Lepisosteus oculatus: one gene and its partner. The protein of the gene in region 1 purifies or fractionates together with the protein of each later gene. This does not show direct contact. Links are inferred from orthologs where the notes say so. Each region holds a gene or a part of one and is shown in the gene's direction. Other genes may lie near its edges.

Evidence for each region. The genes of interacting proteins can lie anywhere in the genome.
Region 2: the proteins of igf2bp3 (region 1) and ilf2 purify together in Homo sapiens (affinity purification with mass spectrometry; 3 studies listed by BioGRID and IntAct, counting the BioPlex papers as one, with this or other methods). This does not show direct contact. The link is inferred for Lepisosteus oculatus from reciprocal best matches to the Homo sapiens genes IGF2BP3 and ILF2.

Annotation. Positions count from the first base shown.
Region 1 is NC_090705.1:1,201,552-1,209,007, forward strand, and holds the start of igf2bp3 (insulin-like growth factor 2 mRNA-binding protein 3), read left to right. Parts: upstream 1-4,419; 5' UTR 4,420-4,749; coding exon 4,750-4,827; intron 4,828-5,321; coding exon 5,322-5,523; intron 5,524-6,633; coding exon 6,634-6,694; intron 6,695-7,456. UniProt on the Homo sapiens protein: RNA-binding factor that may recruit target transcripts to cytoplasmic protein-RNA complexes (mRNPs). This transcript 'caging' into mRNPs allows mRNA transport and transient storage.
Region 2 is NC_090722.1:6,551,775-6,559,438, reverse strand, and holds the start of ilf2 (interleukin enhancer-binding factor 2 homolog), read left to right. Parts: upstream 1-4,637; 5' UTR 4,638-4,751; coding exon 4,752-4,756; intron 4,757-6,196; coding exon 6,197-6,256; intron 6,257-7,664. Other genes in the region: adar (double-stranded RNA-specific adenosine deaminase), read right to left, coding at 349-526; uncharacterized protein, read right to left, coding at 978-1,257, 1,971-2,509. UniProt on the Homo sapiens protein: Chromatin-interacting protein that forms a stable heterodimer with interleukin enhancer-binding factor 3/ILF3 and plays a role in several biological processes including transcription, innate immunity or cell growth.

The DNA of each region.
Region 1 (7,456 bases):
ATCTCCTCCCCGCCCTGGCGGCAGGGTGGGTGCTGTGCGCGCAGAGGACGAGCTTTTCCTCTCCCGCTGCTGCGGCGCCTGTGTGAAGCAGTTTCCTCTTCTTCTCGGGGGGGCTGCGTGGTAACACTCGTGTTCTCTGAAAAGTAGACTTCCACGCCTGACAATACAAAGAAAAAAAAAACCCCACGCAGACGTTCTTCCCCGGGCGTGAGGGAGACGGAGAAGGTGCAGGTGTCTGTACAGCTCGGACGGGGTCTTCTCTACAGTATTAACCTCTGCTTGCTCCAGACCGGACCTAGTTTCATCCACTTGGACACGGGCCGCTTACCTGCTCCAGCTCCGTGTGAAGGGGAGAGTATCAAACTTCGGTCTGGGAGACAACGGCTCAAGTTCCCGCAGTTCCCCAAAAGGCAGAGTACTCGTATAGGAAAATAAAATCCCAACAGTATAGATCCAAGTGCTATTTAAAGATTGGTTTGCGCAGTTTCCGGTTATTTAATAAAATCCATGTACGCGTTATTTCTGTAAGATACAACGCAAGGCTCCACAACAAGCTCTAATTGCAGAACAGTGTGTTCAAGCACATTTTCAAATCTTTAGAACACCGAAGCACAAGTCCCTGGCTTTGCAGAACAGACAGCAGAATATTTGGTTTAATATGTGGAATACTTATTTAATAACTGGAAAATCACAAGGTACGTCGTTGAAGTTGTAGTGCTTTTCTATTTACATTTGTTCTGTTGACACCAGACTACCCGTAGCGATGTCTTTTCGTCGTAAAGCTTGAATGCTACGTAGATAATTTGATCTTTCTTTCAAAATCTTTCAAAAATATATTGAATATTCAGCCTGAGTGGTTTCATTCTAGCCTTTGCACATGGTCTCACACATACTTAAAATATCTTATTAAAAGACACAGCTATCTTGAACTGTTAGCATTTCTTGTTCCTCATCCGTTTTGAAACAGCGGAAGTTGAATGTCCGCTCCTAACGGCGGCGGCAGTGGTCTGAACCCGCGGCCGGGCCTGCTCACGGGACCGATACAGGACCCGATGGGCTGCCAATGACCTGACTCGTCAGGACGAGCCAGACGAGGGCCCCGGCCTTCAGAGGGCGGCTGGAGAACCGCTGGCGATTCCTCCAGGAGACTCCCTCTTCTCCCCCACGGCTGGCCGCTGCCACGCTCGACACGGAGCTGTGAGACGAACCCACAGGTCCCCAATGTGCCCGGAGCCGGGTCGATATCCCGGGAAGAACGGGAAGCGGTCAGTGGAGAAAGAAGACCGCCAGGCGCGGGGGGCCGGGCGGGCCTGTGGCACGGTCCAGGCCTGCGGGACCCGGGTTCACCCCTCTCACAAGGGTGGCGAAGGGCCTCGTCCCTAAACGCGCCCGAAGACGAGATGAAAGGGCCCCCAGCAGCGGAGACGTAATTGGGTCGTCCAGACGGTTAATATCAGTTATTAGTCCTTACTTGCTCATTCTGCTTCATGGGAGCCGGGGGAGAGGCTCTTTTCAAACGAGCGAGAAGGGCTGGGCTTTGCGATTGCACCTTTCAAAGAGACACGGGACGTGCACCGTCAATAGGTGTCATTTATATCCCGATCATGCAATTTAAGAAACGTTTTGTCAGCTCATGTTTAAAGCACCGCACCTGGGCGAGAGTGTCATACACTCTGAAGCACAGCAGCGCAAGACATTTTGTATTTCTGAGTAGGAACGCAGCAGCTACAGGTGACCTACATGTGTGCGAGGATCAGGATACAGGCTAGCGAACTGCACCAGACACACTCCCGGGCAGCATCGAACGCGCGTGTCGTGGACAAATCGGGTTCGGGTCCCGCGCCAGCCGTCTGGAAAGCGGCGCAGAGCACGCGGCGTGGGGCAAGATGGCTCCTGGTGATGGAATGCGCGGTCCGCTGTGACATCACCGGCAGATCAGGGCGCCCATGTCGGGGATGAGCGCTGCTGTGACTGACTCGGTGCACAGACATGTCTGCCGAGGGGAAACGCTCTGCTGCTCATTCCCATGCTTCAGAACGTCTCACAAAACCGTGAACCGCCCTGTAGTCTCTCCGCGGTGCTGTCAGCTGTCAGCATTTTCAGACGAACACGTAGCCTACATATAAGTCTCCACATGCGCGTTATATGCGACGTTTCGCAGTAAATGCAAGTTCTGTGTCTCCGCAGAAGCCTGTTTATCAACTAATTACACACAACACCAGAGCAGAAATAACTGAACATCTTCTCTTAGCCAAGAAAGAAAATAACATGTTATAAAAAGCCTGCCATTTTAACAATCCAAATACTTCAACAGTAATATTCTAAGATGCAGGATTCGACGTGTTGTATGCCGAATTATGTGGGCTTCTTCTCCAGCTTTCCCTGCGCCTCCCTCGTTCGATATTCGGTGGCGATCATCCGCGATGGGCGATGGACCCGAGAGCCGGGGGCGTCTGCGGTGCCCGCCCTGCGGGTCAGGGCGTCTGGAGGCCGAGGCGCCGAGCCTTCCACGCAGGCAGCTGCGAGGGTGCTGTGATTTGTGAGCGTTATTATCCACTGCCACCGTCAGCCCTCCACGAATCCCCCCTTAATTAGGGGGGAAAAAAAAACTTTAAACGAGCAAACGGTCAACGTGTCTTGGAAAGCTGTGAACCCCTTTAGTCTTGGTAGGGCACTGCCACCCCAGACAAACTGGCACACTGGCAAGACAAAGCCATCACCCGTGTGGCTCATCTAGAAGTGCGGGAATATTTACTAGCACGGGAACTACTAGTTGTCTGAAACTGGAAGAAAACTGAAGCGTTTTTAATCACGCACGCTGTTCTCAAAAACATCGAAATGGAGACGATTTCAAAATAAATCACCCATGTACTGTATATTTGGACAGGCGATACCGAGTTATGCGGTGTAGAATTCAACTTTGCATCGTATATTTCAGAGCCACCGGTAAACTACATCGTGCACTGAAACAAGGTTTTGTAGATCTACGAGTTAAATATAAAATATCCTTTTACTAGCAATAACTATGTCGTGCCAGCACCTGACCTCTCAGATCTCTTAAGAGACTGTCTTATTTTTGTGAACAGATTTGACAGGTAATTTCCTCTTTCCCCACACTTGCTACATTATGTGTTGTTTTTCTTTTTTAAAAAAGGGAGTTTTTCCCGGAGTTAACCGCATTACCTTTGAGCACGTTGAACTACTTGGAAATGTACAGCCTCAAAGGGGCACTGAAGGCACGATCCCGCTAAAGAAACTGGAATGAACGAATGATTGTTTTTCATTAAACCGCCCTCGTCGCCTTGTCTCTTATTCACAAATACACACATCCCCACCAGTGTTTCACTGAAACGACGCGACTCTGTTCAGCCGTGTGCAAAGAAAGGGAGCCCAGCTACAGATCCTCGCTCGCTCGCTCACGGCTCGATACACATGAACCTGTTTTCGCTCCCCTCTCTCTCACCCGTGTCCCCAGCCACCACTGGCCTTGGCGCTCCGCGGCCGCCCTTTCTTGGACGGAGCGGAGGGGCCTGATGAGCTGCGCGCCGGGCTCTGGTTTGTCACAGTCCTGCATTGTCTGCGCTGGGCTCGGCTACAATGGAGGCCGCGGAGGGGAAGACAGGAACCCTGACTGTACTGCTGCTGCTCCCAGAGCAGAGTATCCCCACCACCACCACCACCAAGACGGCGTCCCCGCATAAGGGCACGTCGGCTACAGCCACACGTACGCGTACATGAATATGTTCGTGGCCTATTCGTACGCGAAAAGGCCTAAAGAGGAGACTTGGGCAATGCGTGTTGTGGAGATCAGAAACACACACACAGGCTACAGTATCCCTCCCCCTCCCACCCCAAACCCTTCACGACGTGTCGGCCTCGCAGAAAATACTTATACACACTAAAGCGGAGGAATTGTTCCCAGAGAAAGTACTGCATTTACCATATGGTCACACTATCGTTGAGGTACCGCTTTATTTATGCAAAATGGGCCTGTTTTTAGTATCGAAATCTAAAAGGTTATTTTTATTTTATAACCTGGAAGTACTCGGACGAATCCCACTGCTATAGATCGGGGTTATATTCCTGCTCTTGAAAGAATGTCTGAAACTAGCACTGTGCGTTTGGGTACACGCAGACGCAGTTGTTTTAGAATGTGCGCCACAACCTTTTACTTACGAGGAAGATTAATGTCGTCTAGCTATGAATCGAGCAGAAGTAATTCAGAGGGATTCAGCCCCTTCCCCACCCCCCCAGAAACGACTGTGCGGCGGAGGCGAGCAGAGCAGAGCCCCAGCACGCCCTTCCCACTCGGGAAATGGTTGCTGTGGCGGGGGGCCCGACGGTGAGGAGGAACAGTCGGACCCGTGTTTTGAGTTCCGGCTATACGGGCACTGGGCAGCGTCACAAGCCGGTCGTTGGCCGAGGCGCTCGGCTCCTCCATTGGGAAGGAAGGAAGAGCGACGCTTTTAAAAATGTGGTTTGATTCTGCTCACGGCGACACCCGCCTCACGCGTGGAGATGCATGCCCGCGGGTGAGGGGGCTGGAGAAGACGCCTCTCGCCCCCAGCAGGCGAGGGAGAACACATCACCACAGCCGTGGCCCTCGCACACGCCTATAGGCGCTCTCCTATAGGGCGCCCGCGGCGCGCCCCCTCCCCCGCCGCCGTGCAGCGCCCCCCCAGCCCCTGGCAGGCCGGCCGGCCCAGACCCTCGCCCGCGACGCGGCTCCACTGTTTCGGCCAGCAGCCAATGAGAAGCGGAGCACCGAGAGAAAGGCACCCGCATGAGATCCAAGAGCGATACGGCACCACACAAGATATCCTTAATGTACGTAGGTTTTCCAGTACTAATCCTCTTCCCAGCTCCCCCTCCCCTGTCCCCACCCGACTCCCGTGGCATTTTCCCCAATCTAGTATTTAATTGAGGAACTGGGATTCCTCACGTGAGAAGTTGATTTGTAGTTTGAACACGTGGCTCATTCAAAAAGCCGGAATATTCAAGTGATTTTTCCTCTCGGTTTTATTTAGAGGCGGCGCCTACATTAACGTGTGTGACATTTTCACAGTCTGTCTGCTAAGGGGGTTCGGAGGACGACAAAAAGTAGTTTTCTCCTCCTTTTCGCCAAGCCCGCCATCCTTAGGAAAGGCTGTTATAAAATATTCTTGTTAACTTATCCTGGGGGAAGAGTGCGCGCGTGAAACATCCATATATAAATATACTCTATATAAATAACACTCTGGTTGGTAGAAGTCCGTTTCACAAAAAAGAGAGAAAAAAAAGGCTGTACATCTGAGCGCATAAGTCTGCCTTTTTTCTGAAAGGTTTGCATTTTCGCCGTGCAGCACACCATGAATAAGCTTTATATCGGTAACTTGAGTGAAGACGCGAGTCCCGTCGAGTTGGAAAGTCTCTTTCAGGAGTGGAAGATTCCTTGTAGTGGCCCGTTTCTCGTCAAGACTGGTTACGCGTTTGTGGACTGCCCTGATGAGAAGGGTGCTATGAAGGCCATCGACACGCTCTCAGGTAAGAAAGAAGACCAACCGCCGGCGAACCTGGGTGGAAACCGAGTGCTCAAGAGTGTGTTTTGTTTTTGCTAATTGCTGCGGCGATCGTTTTAAATAAGAAAGATCCGTGCTCATTGAAACGAGGCGTGTGTGTGTATATATGTGTGTGTGGGTACCTAGGCTCCCCTTGTCTCGTACACTACCGACCTCGGCAGGTCTGGAGCCCGGCGCACGGGGCTCAGTTAGCAGTCCATGTTCTGATTACAATTGAAAATAAGCACTGCGATTGTTAGGCTCATACAACAAGTTTCAATTATCAATTACCGGGGGCCGAGGAAGCTGAGCGCCTGAGCTGCTGCATTTTACGTACAAATAACCAGCGGGCCAAGAAGGCCGATGACAGAGAACAGTGTACTTATGCAAAGTATTTACCTTCTAAACAAATTTTAATTACTATATTTATAGGTTCTCAAACAAGCCTGAAGTTTTTTTTTCCCCGCATTTTTTATATCGGGCTTCGTTCAAATAAATACCACCCTCTACAGAATTGTCTTTTTCGAGAAAACTGATATATCTAACTTAAAAAAAATGTTTTTAAATGTGTTTTGTTTAGAGTAGCGTGGCTACACTGGTGGTAGGTCCTGTGTCTTATTGTGCATTGCTACAACGTAACGAAAGGATCAAATACTTAAGGGATTTTTTGTAACGAATTTAAAGAAAAAAACACAGCTTGTAAATTCGAATCGAATACCTTTTGGTGGAAACTAATCTCTAAAAAATAGGATTTATATGACTGTGTAAAAAATATTCAACCTCAATTTACAAAGCCACTCAAATAGTCGTCTTGTACTTTGTTGTGGATATTTCCGCGGGGCAATTCGTCAGCCATAGCTGTTGTACTTCACTTGTGAAAAGTGTAAATTAGACCACACTTTGTTCGTGTTGTTTTTTTAAATCTTACGCTTAACATGACGATGGGAGTTAATTAACATTTTAAAAGGCCGAGTGATGACTGAAATTATCGATATTCTCTGAAAAGCCATCTCTCCATTTTCTCCTACAGTGCATTTTCCCGCTTTACTGGCACAGCAAAACTTATTTTTTTTTGTTTTTTTAATTTGTTTTCAAGGTAAAGTAGAACTCCACGGAAAAGTTATAGAGGTGGAACACTCAGTCCCGAAAAGACAAAGGTAAAGAATTTGCAACTCCCTCTGCTTGAACAACAGTTATTCATGTGGACTACCTGCTGTGTTTCGTTGTTTTATTTTTTAAAAAAAAACACATCAGTCTGCCAAGTCTTTTGAAATGAATATAATCTATCAATGATCATTTATGTATTTGACATCTGATTTCCCTCTAACTAAAAATCAACCTAACAAATTAACTTTACAAGCCAGTCTGTGGTCTTCGTGTGGATTTTAAAACCAAGTGAGGCACAGGCCTGCTGATATTTTCACCAAGGCAATACTGGGGCGTTAGCAGGAAATGAGGCAGGTTTTGCATTAATTTTAGCAAGCACGTGTGCATTTTAAATATTTGGTGTGTGTGGTGGGCTCTGAATTTGGGGTGCTTCAGGGACTTTCGTTTGTTCTGATGGTTAGGGTGACAAGAGGAGAGGTGGGGATGTCTGTGCATAAAACTGAAAACATTTTTTGAATAAATTGTTTTTGTTCGCTCACATCTGGCATCCTGCTCTCATTCCTAAATGTATACCTTCGCCTAACAAAATATTCTCCAGCGCCCGACGTGATCGTGAATCGAGGCTATTTATGAAACCCTTTCCTGGTGAATTAATGCAGAGACCGCAGTGGGTGTTTTCTTGAAAATGGTGTCGCCTAGCGAACCTCCGGACTCTCCATTTCACGTGCCACATGGCTTCCCCTGGCTTTCCTCGCGCAGGCTGGGGTGCAGGGAAGCGGCACAGTGGGTTTGAGAGACAGCAGTGGGGAAGA
Region 2 (7,664 bases), on another chromosome or scaffold:
GACCGGCCCTAGCGCCTGCAGAGCTCCGACTCGCGATCACACGCCCCCCGATGCCTCTAATTCTCACACGCACAGATGCACAGCCAGTATCGGCTCCGACCGACCCCCCCCCTCAGCGCGACCCGGGACCCCTGCCTCTTCCGCCTCCAGCCCACTCTCGCCAGCCTTCACTCCACGCACCCCGAACGTCATGTCGCGATACCACAGGCGGGTCGTGAGCGGCTGGGGGCCACATCTCCCGGCGCAGACCAACTGGGCTCGCCGCCGTCCCCGGCCCGACTCCCCGACACCAGCCACGCGTGTCTCCGCGAACACCCACCCGGGGCGAACGAGAAAGGCGCTCCCTACCTGCAGATGGATTAAGGGGTTTGGCAGTGCAGCTCAGGCTCCGCAGAGTGTTGTGGGCTCCACCGCCTCGCCGTCGGAAAACAGGAAGAGCGGCGCGATGACGTCGAAAACAGGCGACGGATTGGTTGAGGGGAGAGGAGGGGTAGAAGCCTGTGAAGGGGGGTGTAGGCTCAGACATCTGGGGGCAGCCTCGATGTGCAGGGCCAGTGTGTGTGAGTGTGAGTGCTCGGCAGTGAGTGTGTCAGCGTGTCAGTGCGTCAGGCAGTGTGAGTGTGTCAGTGTGTGTGCGTCAGTGTGTCAGTGTGTGTGTCATTGTGACAGTGTGAGTGTGTCAGTGTGTCAGTGTGTGTGTCAGTGTGACAGTGTGAGTGTCAGGCAGTACAGTCACAATTTCCAGCCCAGTTCTGTTTGGAGAAGTTTATTGCCTGCAGTCAGTTCAGTGCACAGGCACCATGTTCTCCACTACAGGTCAAAAATGAAACAAAAAGCTGAATGGTTTTAATTCCAGAAACAGAAAATGACATGATAACTGACCACTCGGCCTTCTACCTGTTCTGTACATCAACGCAACGATCTTTATATTCATCTTCTATTCCTCTTCCCTTTGAAGCACAACAGCTAGGTGCCCCTCATGGAACACCCCATTTTGGGGGTGTCCCTTGCTCCATTCGGACACGGCCCTCTCGCAGCAGTCTGTACAGGTGCTGATTGGCTGTTTTTTTGGGGACCCCCAGTTTCCGGGCGATGAGCGCAGCCGGGGCAGTGGTCCCCGACGGAAGGCCCTCCAGCACCCCCAGCACGTCCTGGGGCTCGCGGCGGGTCCCCTCCCCCAGGGCCAGGTGCTGGAAGCTGGCTGCCAGAGCGTGGGCCTCCCCCGGGCCAGCTGGCTGAGGCCGGGGCACAGGGCCACTGGGAAAGAGGCAGACAGGGAGAGAGGGGGAGGAGGGGTGGGGAGGGAGAGAGAGGGAGGAGGAGAGGGAGGGAGGAGGAGAGAGAGGGAGAGAGGGAGGGAGGAGGGGTGAGGAGAGAGAGGAGGGAGAGGCAGTGAGGAGGAGGAGGGAGGGGGAGGGAGAGAGAGGGAGGGAGGAGGGGTGAGGAGAGAGAGGAGGGAGAGGCAGTGAGGAGGAGGAGGGAGGGGGAGGGAGAGAGAGGGAGGGAGGGAGGAGGGGTGAGGAGAGAGAGGGAGAGAGGAGGGGTGGGGGGAGAGAGGGAGGGAGGAGGAGAGGAGGGGTGGGGAGAGAGAGGGAGGAGGGGTGGGGGGAGAGAGGGAGAGACGGAGGGAGGAGGGGTGAGGAGAGAGAGGCAGTGAGGAGGAGGGAGGGGGAAAGTGAGAGAGGATAGAGGGAGGGAGGAGGGGTGAGGAGAGAGAGGGAGGGAGGAGGGGTGAGGAGAGGGAGAGGCAGGGGGGAGGAGTGAGGAGAGAGAGGAGGAAGACGAGAGTGCTGAGCAGAGACACAGGACCGCTCTCCCTCTCTCTGCCTGGCACACCCACAGCCCCGCCCATCGCCTCGGCAGCGACGGCTCACGCCCACGTAACCATGGCAGCAGTCTGCCCCCAGTCTCTCCGCTAGTTCAGCCAGTCAGCGCTCAGGGCCTCATGCCGGCTGCCCCCGTCTACATACCTGTCCCTCCCGTTCGTGGCCGCAGTGTGCACGCCCGGCCTGCAGGGGGCGGCGGTGCGCGGCCCCTCTGCCCCCTCGCCCTGTGTCTGGCTGGGCAGCCTCCACAGCACGGGGGGCCCCTCCGTCTTGTCCACCTGGCCCCCGCGCAGCAGCGAGTACAGCTGCTGGTTTGCCGACTTCCGCGAGACGCCGAGCTCGCGGGCGATCCGGTGCGCGGGCAGCCCCCCGCCGGGGCCCGCCGACAGGAGGACCTTCAGGACGCTCTGAGGGTCCGGGGGCCCGGGTTCAGGGGACGCCCCGGTGGTCGCGCGTGGCTCCGGTTCCGAGCCCGCCAGGCTCCACAGCGGCGGCTCTGTCCTGGTCCGGCGGACCGCGCCGCCCCTCTCCAGCTCGTACAGCGCTCGGTTGACATCCCCGACCGGGGGGCCCCCGAGGGCCGCCGCGATCTCCCCAGCCGCGTGGCCCCTCTCGCCTCCCTGCGCCCCTGTCCGCAGGAACGCACACACGCGGCCCCCGACGTCCCCCTCGGACGCAGACATCCCTCTCCAGGGCGGGGCTCTGGAGAAGACCCCCACAGAACCGTCACCCAGAGTCACAGCACCTGCGCAGAGCAAGAGCTGTCAAGAACCAGACAGAGACAGAGAGAGAGAGGAGTGGACAGACAGAGACACAGGGAGGGAGAGAGAGAGGAGTGGACAGACAGAGACACGGGGGGGGGGGAGAGAGGAGTGGACCAACAGAGACACGGGGGGGGGGAGAGAGAGAAAGAGGAGTGGACCAACAGAGACACAGGGGGGGAGAGAGAGAGAGAAAGAGGAGTGGACAGACAGAGACACATGGAGACAGGAGTGGATCGACAGAGACACAGGGAGAGAGAGGAGTGGACAGAGACACAGGGAGAGAGAGAGAGGAGTGGACAGACAGAGACACAGGGAGAAAGAGAGAGAGGAGTGGACTGACAGAGACACAGGGAGAGAGACAGGAGTGGACCGACAGAGACACAGAGAAGGATGCTGCTATAGTGAGGATCACAGCAGGAGAAAGACAAGCAGGTGGGAAGAGATCAGTCCTGAAACAGCCAGTCTTCACCCACCCCGTGTCCCAGCGCAGACTGGACTCGCTCATTTCCCCCTCTACAGCGAGCGGGAAACGAGACTGCTCCCCGGAGGAAAAAAAAAAACTAAAATAAAGTCGTTTAAAATCTTCCACAACTAAAAATAATAAAAACACAAACGCCTCCCTCGCCGAGAGTCTGAGCGAGTGACCCGGAAGGGCTCCCCCACAGCGCCCCCGTGTGGCCAGCAGGGCGAATGTCTCTATTCGCCGTGAAGCGCGTTTTGTAGCTAACCATTAATTCTAATCGTGATTGTTCATTAAAATTACATCAACGAGGGGAACAAGAGCGCTGATAAGACGTTCAGAACAGCAGTAAAATCACAAGGAAAAATAACAAAGAAAAATAAAAGAGAGGTAGGTGTCCAGAAAAGCGCTATATAAGTGTAAGCAATTATTATTATTATTATTATTGTTATTATTTGCATTCCTTTATTGCACTTATTTACCGAGTCTCGCCATCGTGATTCCTCTGGTGCCGTACCGTATAATACCACATAATTATAATGTTAAGAAGAAGATAATAAGGCTCCACAGCCGAAACGTTTCCTTTTCTTCTCTTTTCAGCATGGAATAAACCTTTGCTGGTTCCTTAGAAGCCTACGATTGATGACACAGCTCCCTACTTGAACTTCCACACGACAACAACAACAATAATAATAAATCCTTACACGTATATGGCGCCTTTCTCAGTCCGCTCAAAGTGCTTCACAGGTCATGGGGACTCCCCTCCACCAGCACCAGTTAGTAGCCCCACCGGGATAATAATAATAATAATAATAATAATAATAATAATAATAATAATAATAATAATAATAATAATAATAATAATTGCTTACACTTATATAGCGCTTTTCTGGACACTCCACTCAAAGCGCTTTACAGGTAATGGGGATCCCCTCCAACACCACCAATGTGCAGCCCCACCTGGATGATGCGATGGCAGCCATAGCGCGCCAGAACACTCCCCACACAGCAGCTCTCAGTGGGGAGGAGAGCAGAGCGATGGAGCCAGTTCAGAGAGGGGGATTATTAGGAGGCCATGATTGGTAAGGGCCAATGGGAAATTTGACCAGGGATGTACCTCAGCCTAATCCAGATGTTTCTACGACAGGTTTCACACAACATTAACATACAGAGGAACACTTTTACCTGTGTGAAAAGTATTTCAGGTGTGTGCATGACTGCTTTTTATATTACGTGTTGTTTCTATGCTGTAAAATGAGATTAATACGTGGCTCATCTGAAAAATGAAAATGGTTAGCAGAGGATGGTTTCGATCCATCGACCTCTGGGTTATGGGCCCAGCACGCTTCCGCTGCGCCACTCTGCTAGACGCTTGCACTGGTGAAAAGTCACTCGCTTTGTTATTGTCCGAGTGTGTTCTGCAGTGCTGCGCTCTAGTGGTCATCATTCGAAAGTGCATCAGAGACTATTAGACGAGAACCAATCATGTGGGATGTTTGCCTGCGAGCCCCGCCCCCTACCCCACCTCACCAATCGCCTCTTGCTGTTGAAAAGCGTTTGGCGCCTGTGATTGGTTCCCTGGGTTGTCGATCTCGTTCGGAGACGCTGTTTCCCTGGGTAGTGAAGCAACGCCAGCGGACAGGTCGGCGGCCGAAGATTTCTCTTTGTGGCTTCCCTCAAGTTGTCAAGACGTCGTACGCAATGAGGTACAGTAATTCAAAGGAGATGGAAGGGAAAACTGTTTTTTTCTGTGCGCAATCTGACAACGCGGTGTGTCCTGGCAGAACTGAAATCCGGCTTCTCAAGTAGGCCTCATATCAGGCCTCGGGTCTCGAGTTAGCTAGCGTACCCGTGTCGGATCGGGGGTGTGTGCGCGCGTGCGTGGGCTCTGCATGTTATCGCTAAAACCCAAGTTGAAACTGCGTCCCCTTCGAATTCCATTTCCTGGCGTTTAGTGACAAGATGTGTAAAAGGAAAATGGCGTTTTTTTTAAAACAAAAGCTCTCGGAAGAGGGTGTTGTGCCGGGCGCTGGATGAATGAATGGCTGTAATCGAGCGGCCGGTCTGGGGCCTGCTCTTTGTTACCCACCGTGCCGGTTTCCACACGGCGCCGACCGGCAGTGCACCGAGGCCGGTGTGTGCTTCGTGACCTGGCCGCCGAGGTGCGGGCGAACCGAGGGTCTGTATGCCCGACGAGTGCCAAGGCACGTTCCTGCCTCCAACACCGTGCGGCTGTCCGGCATCGGGGGTCCCAGTCTCTGCGTGCCGGCTGGTTAGTGGCTTATCCTACCGGCCAGGGTGCTGGGGGGGGCTTGAGGTCAAAGATCCATGAACCTAGTGTCGGAGGGCCGTCTGGAATCGCCCTGTGAGGCACTGAGCCCGCGGGACTCGTGCAGGATGATCTGTGAATGAACCGACTGGCGACCACAGAGAAATTCAGAACAGGTGGCCTTTCCTTACACAAAGGGGGGTGTGTGTGTGGAACAAGCTGCAGGGGGTCAGTTAGCTACTAAATACCCAGCGGCTGGGCGGGCCCTGTGGCTCCACTCTGTAACGACCCCTTACATCCTCAAGACACGGGATCTTTATCGTGGTCTTGTGCAGCTCTACTGTTCACTTCAGTTCACGCACAGTTACCCTGCTGGCAGCCCACCGGAGCTCAGCATCCATCTCTGGAGGGGAGACCTCCTGGGAAAGCTGAGGCTGCAGCTGGAAGAGGTGTTAGTGGGACCAGCAGGGGGCGCTCACCCTGCGGTCTGTGTGGGTCCTAATGGCCCGGTACAGTGACGGGGACACTATACTGTAAATAGGCGCTGTCCTTCGGATGAGATGTAAAACCGAGGTCCTGACTCTCTGTGGTCATTAAAAATCCCAGGGCATTTCTCCAAAAGAGTAGGGGTGTTACCCCGGAGTCCTGGAGGTGCTACAGTCCGTCATGGAATTAACCAGGTGGACCGATCGTGTGACTGGAGCACCTGGTCTTCTGCAGGCGCGGTGGGGCTCACTCGAGCTTGCGTCTCTCTGCGCGGAGAGCAGAGGGGTGGCCTCGCTGCTCTGGTCCCGACTGGCCTGGTGGAGGCGGCTGGCTGGGTGTCTCTCCAATCCAGTGATGGAAGCATCTAACATCTCTCTCTCTCTCTCTCCAGAGGCGACAGGGGGCGGGGCCGGGGGGGCCGGTTTGGAGCCCGCGGAGGGCTGGCGCAGGGGTGAGTAGCTGCTGGTGGGGGGGACGTGCTTACTGTACCTGTGCAAGCAGTCGGACACCCCGTCGGTGGCAGACTGATCCACTCCGGGTTTTACAGTGTTGTTAATCAGACTCCTGGCATCCAGCAGTGCGCTCCAGTCTGGGGGCTAACAGTGTAGTTAATCACACCACAGTGCGCTGCAGTCCGGGGGTTAACAGTGTAGTTAATCACACCACAGTGTGCTGCAGTCCGGGGGTTAACAGTGTAGTTAATCACACCACAGTGCGCTGCAGTCTGGGGTTAACAGTGTAGTTAATCACACCACAGTGCGCTGCAGTCTGGGGTTAACAGTGTAGTTAATCACACCACAGTGCGCTGCAGTCTGGGGTTAACAGTGTAGTTAATCACACCACAGTGCGCTGCAGTCCGGGGGCTAACAGTGTAGTTAATCACACCACAGTGCGCTGCAGTCTGGGGTTAACAGTGTAGTTAATCACACCACAGTGTGCTGCAGTCCGGGGGCTAACAGTGTAGTTAATCACACCACAGTGCGCTGCAGTCTGGGGTTAACAGTGTAGTTAATCACACCACAGTGCGCTGCAGTCTGGGGGCTAACAGTGTAGTTAATCACACCACAGTGCGCTGCAGTCTGGGGGCTAACAGTGTAGTTAATCACACCACAGTGCGCTGCAGTCTGGGGTTAACAGTGTAGTTAATCACACCACAGTGCGCTGCAGTCCGGGGGCTAACAGTGTAGTTAAGCACACCACAGTGTGCTGCAGTCCGGGGGTTAACAGTGTAGTTAATCACACCACAGTGCGCTGCAGTCTGGGGTTAACAGTGTAGTTAATCACACCACAGTGCGCTGCAGTCTGGGGTTAACAGTGTAGTTAATCACACCACAGTGTGCTGCAGTCCGGGGGTTAACAGTGTAGTTAATCACACCACAGTGCGCTGCAGTCTGGGGTTAACAGTGTAGTTAATCACACCACAGTGCGCTGCAGTCTGGGGGCTAACAGTGTAGTTAATCACACCACAGTGCGCTGCAGTCTGGGGGTTAACAGTGTAGTTAATCACACCACAGTGCGCTGCAGTCTGGGGTTAACAGTGTAGTTAAGCACACCACAGTGCGCTGCAGTCTGGGGCTAACAGTGTAGTTAATCACACCACAGTGCGCTGCAGTCCGGGGGCTAACAGTGTAGTTAATCACACCACAGTGCGCTGCAGTCTGGGGTTAACAGTGTAGTTAATCACACCACAGTGTGCTGCAGTCTGGGGTTAACAGTGTAGTTAATCACACCACAGTGCGCTGCAGTCCGGGGGCTAACAGTGTAGTTAATCACACCACAGTGCGCTGCAGTCCGGGGGCTAACAGTGTAGTTAATCACACCACAGTGCGCTGCAGTCTGGGGTTAACAGTGTAGTTAAT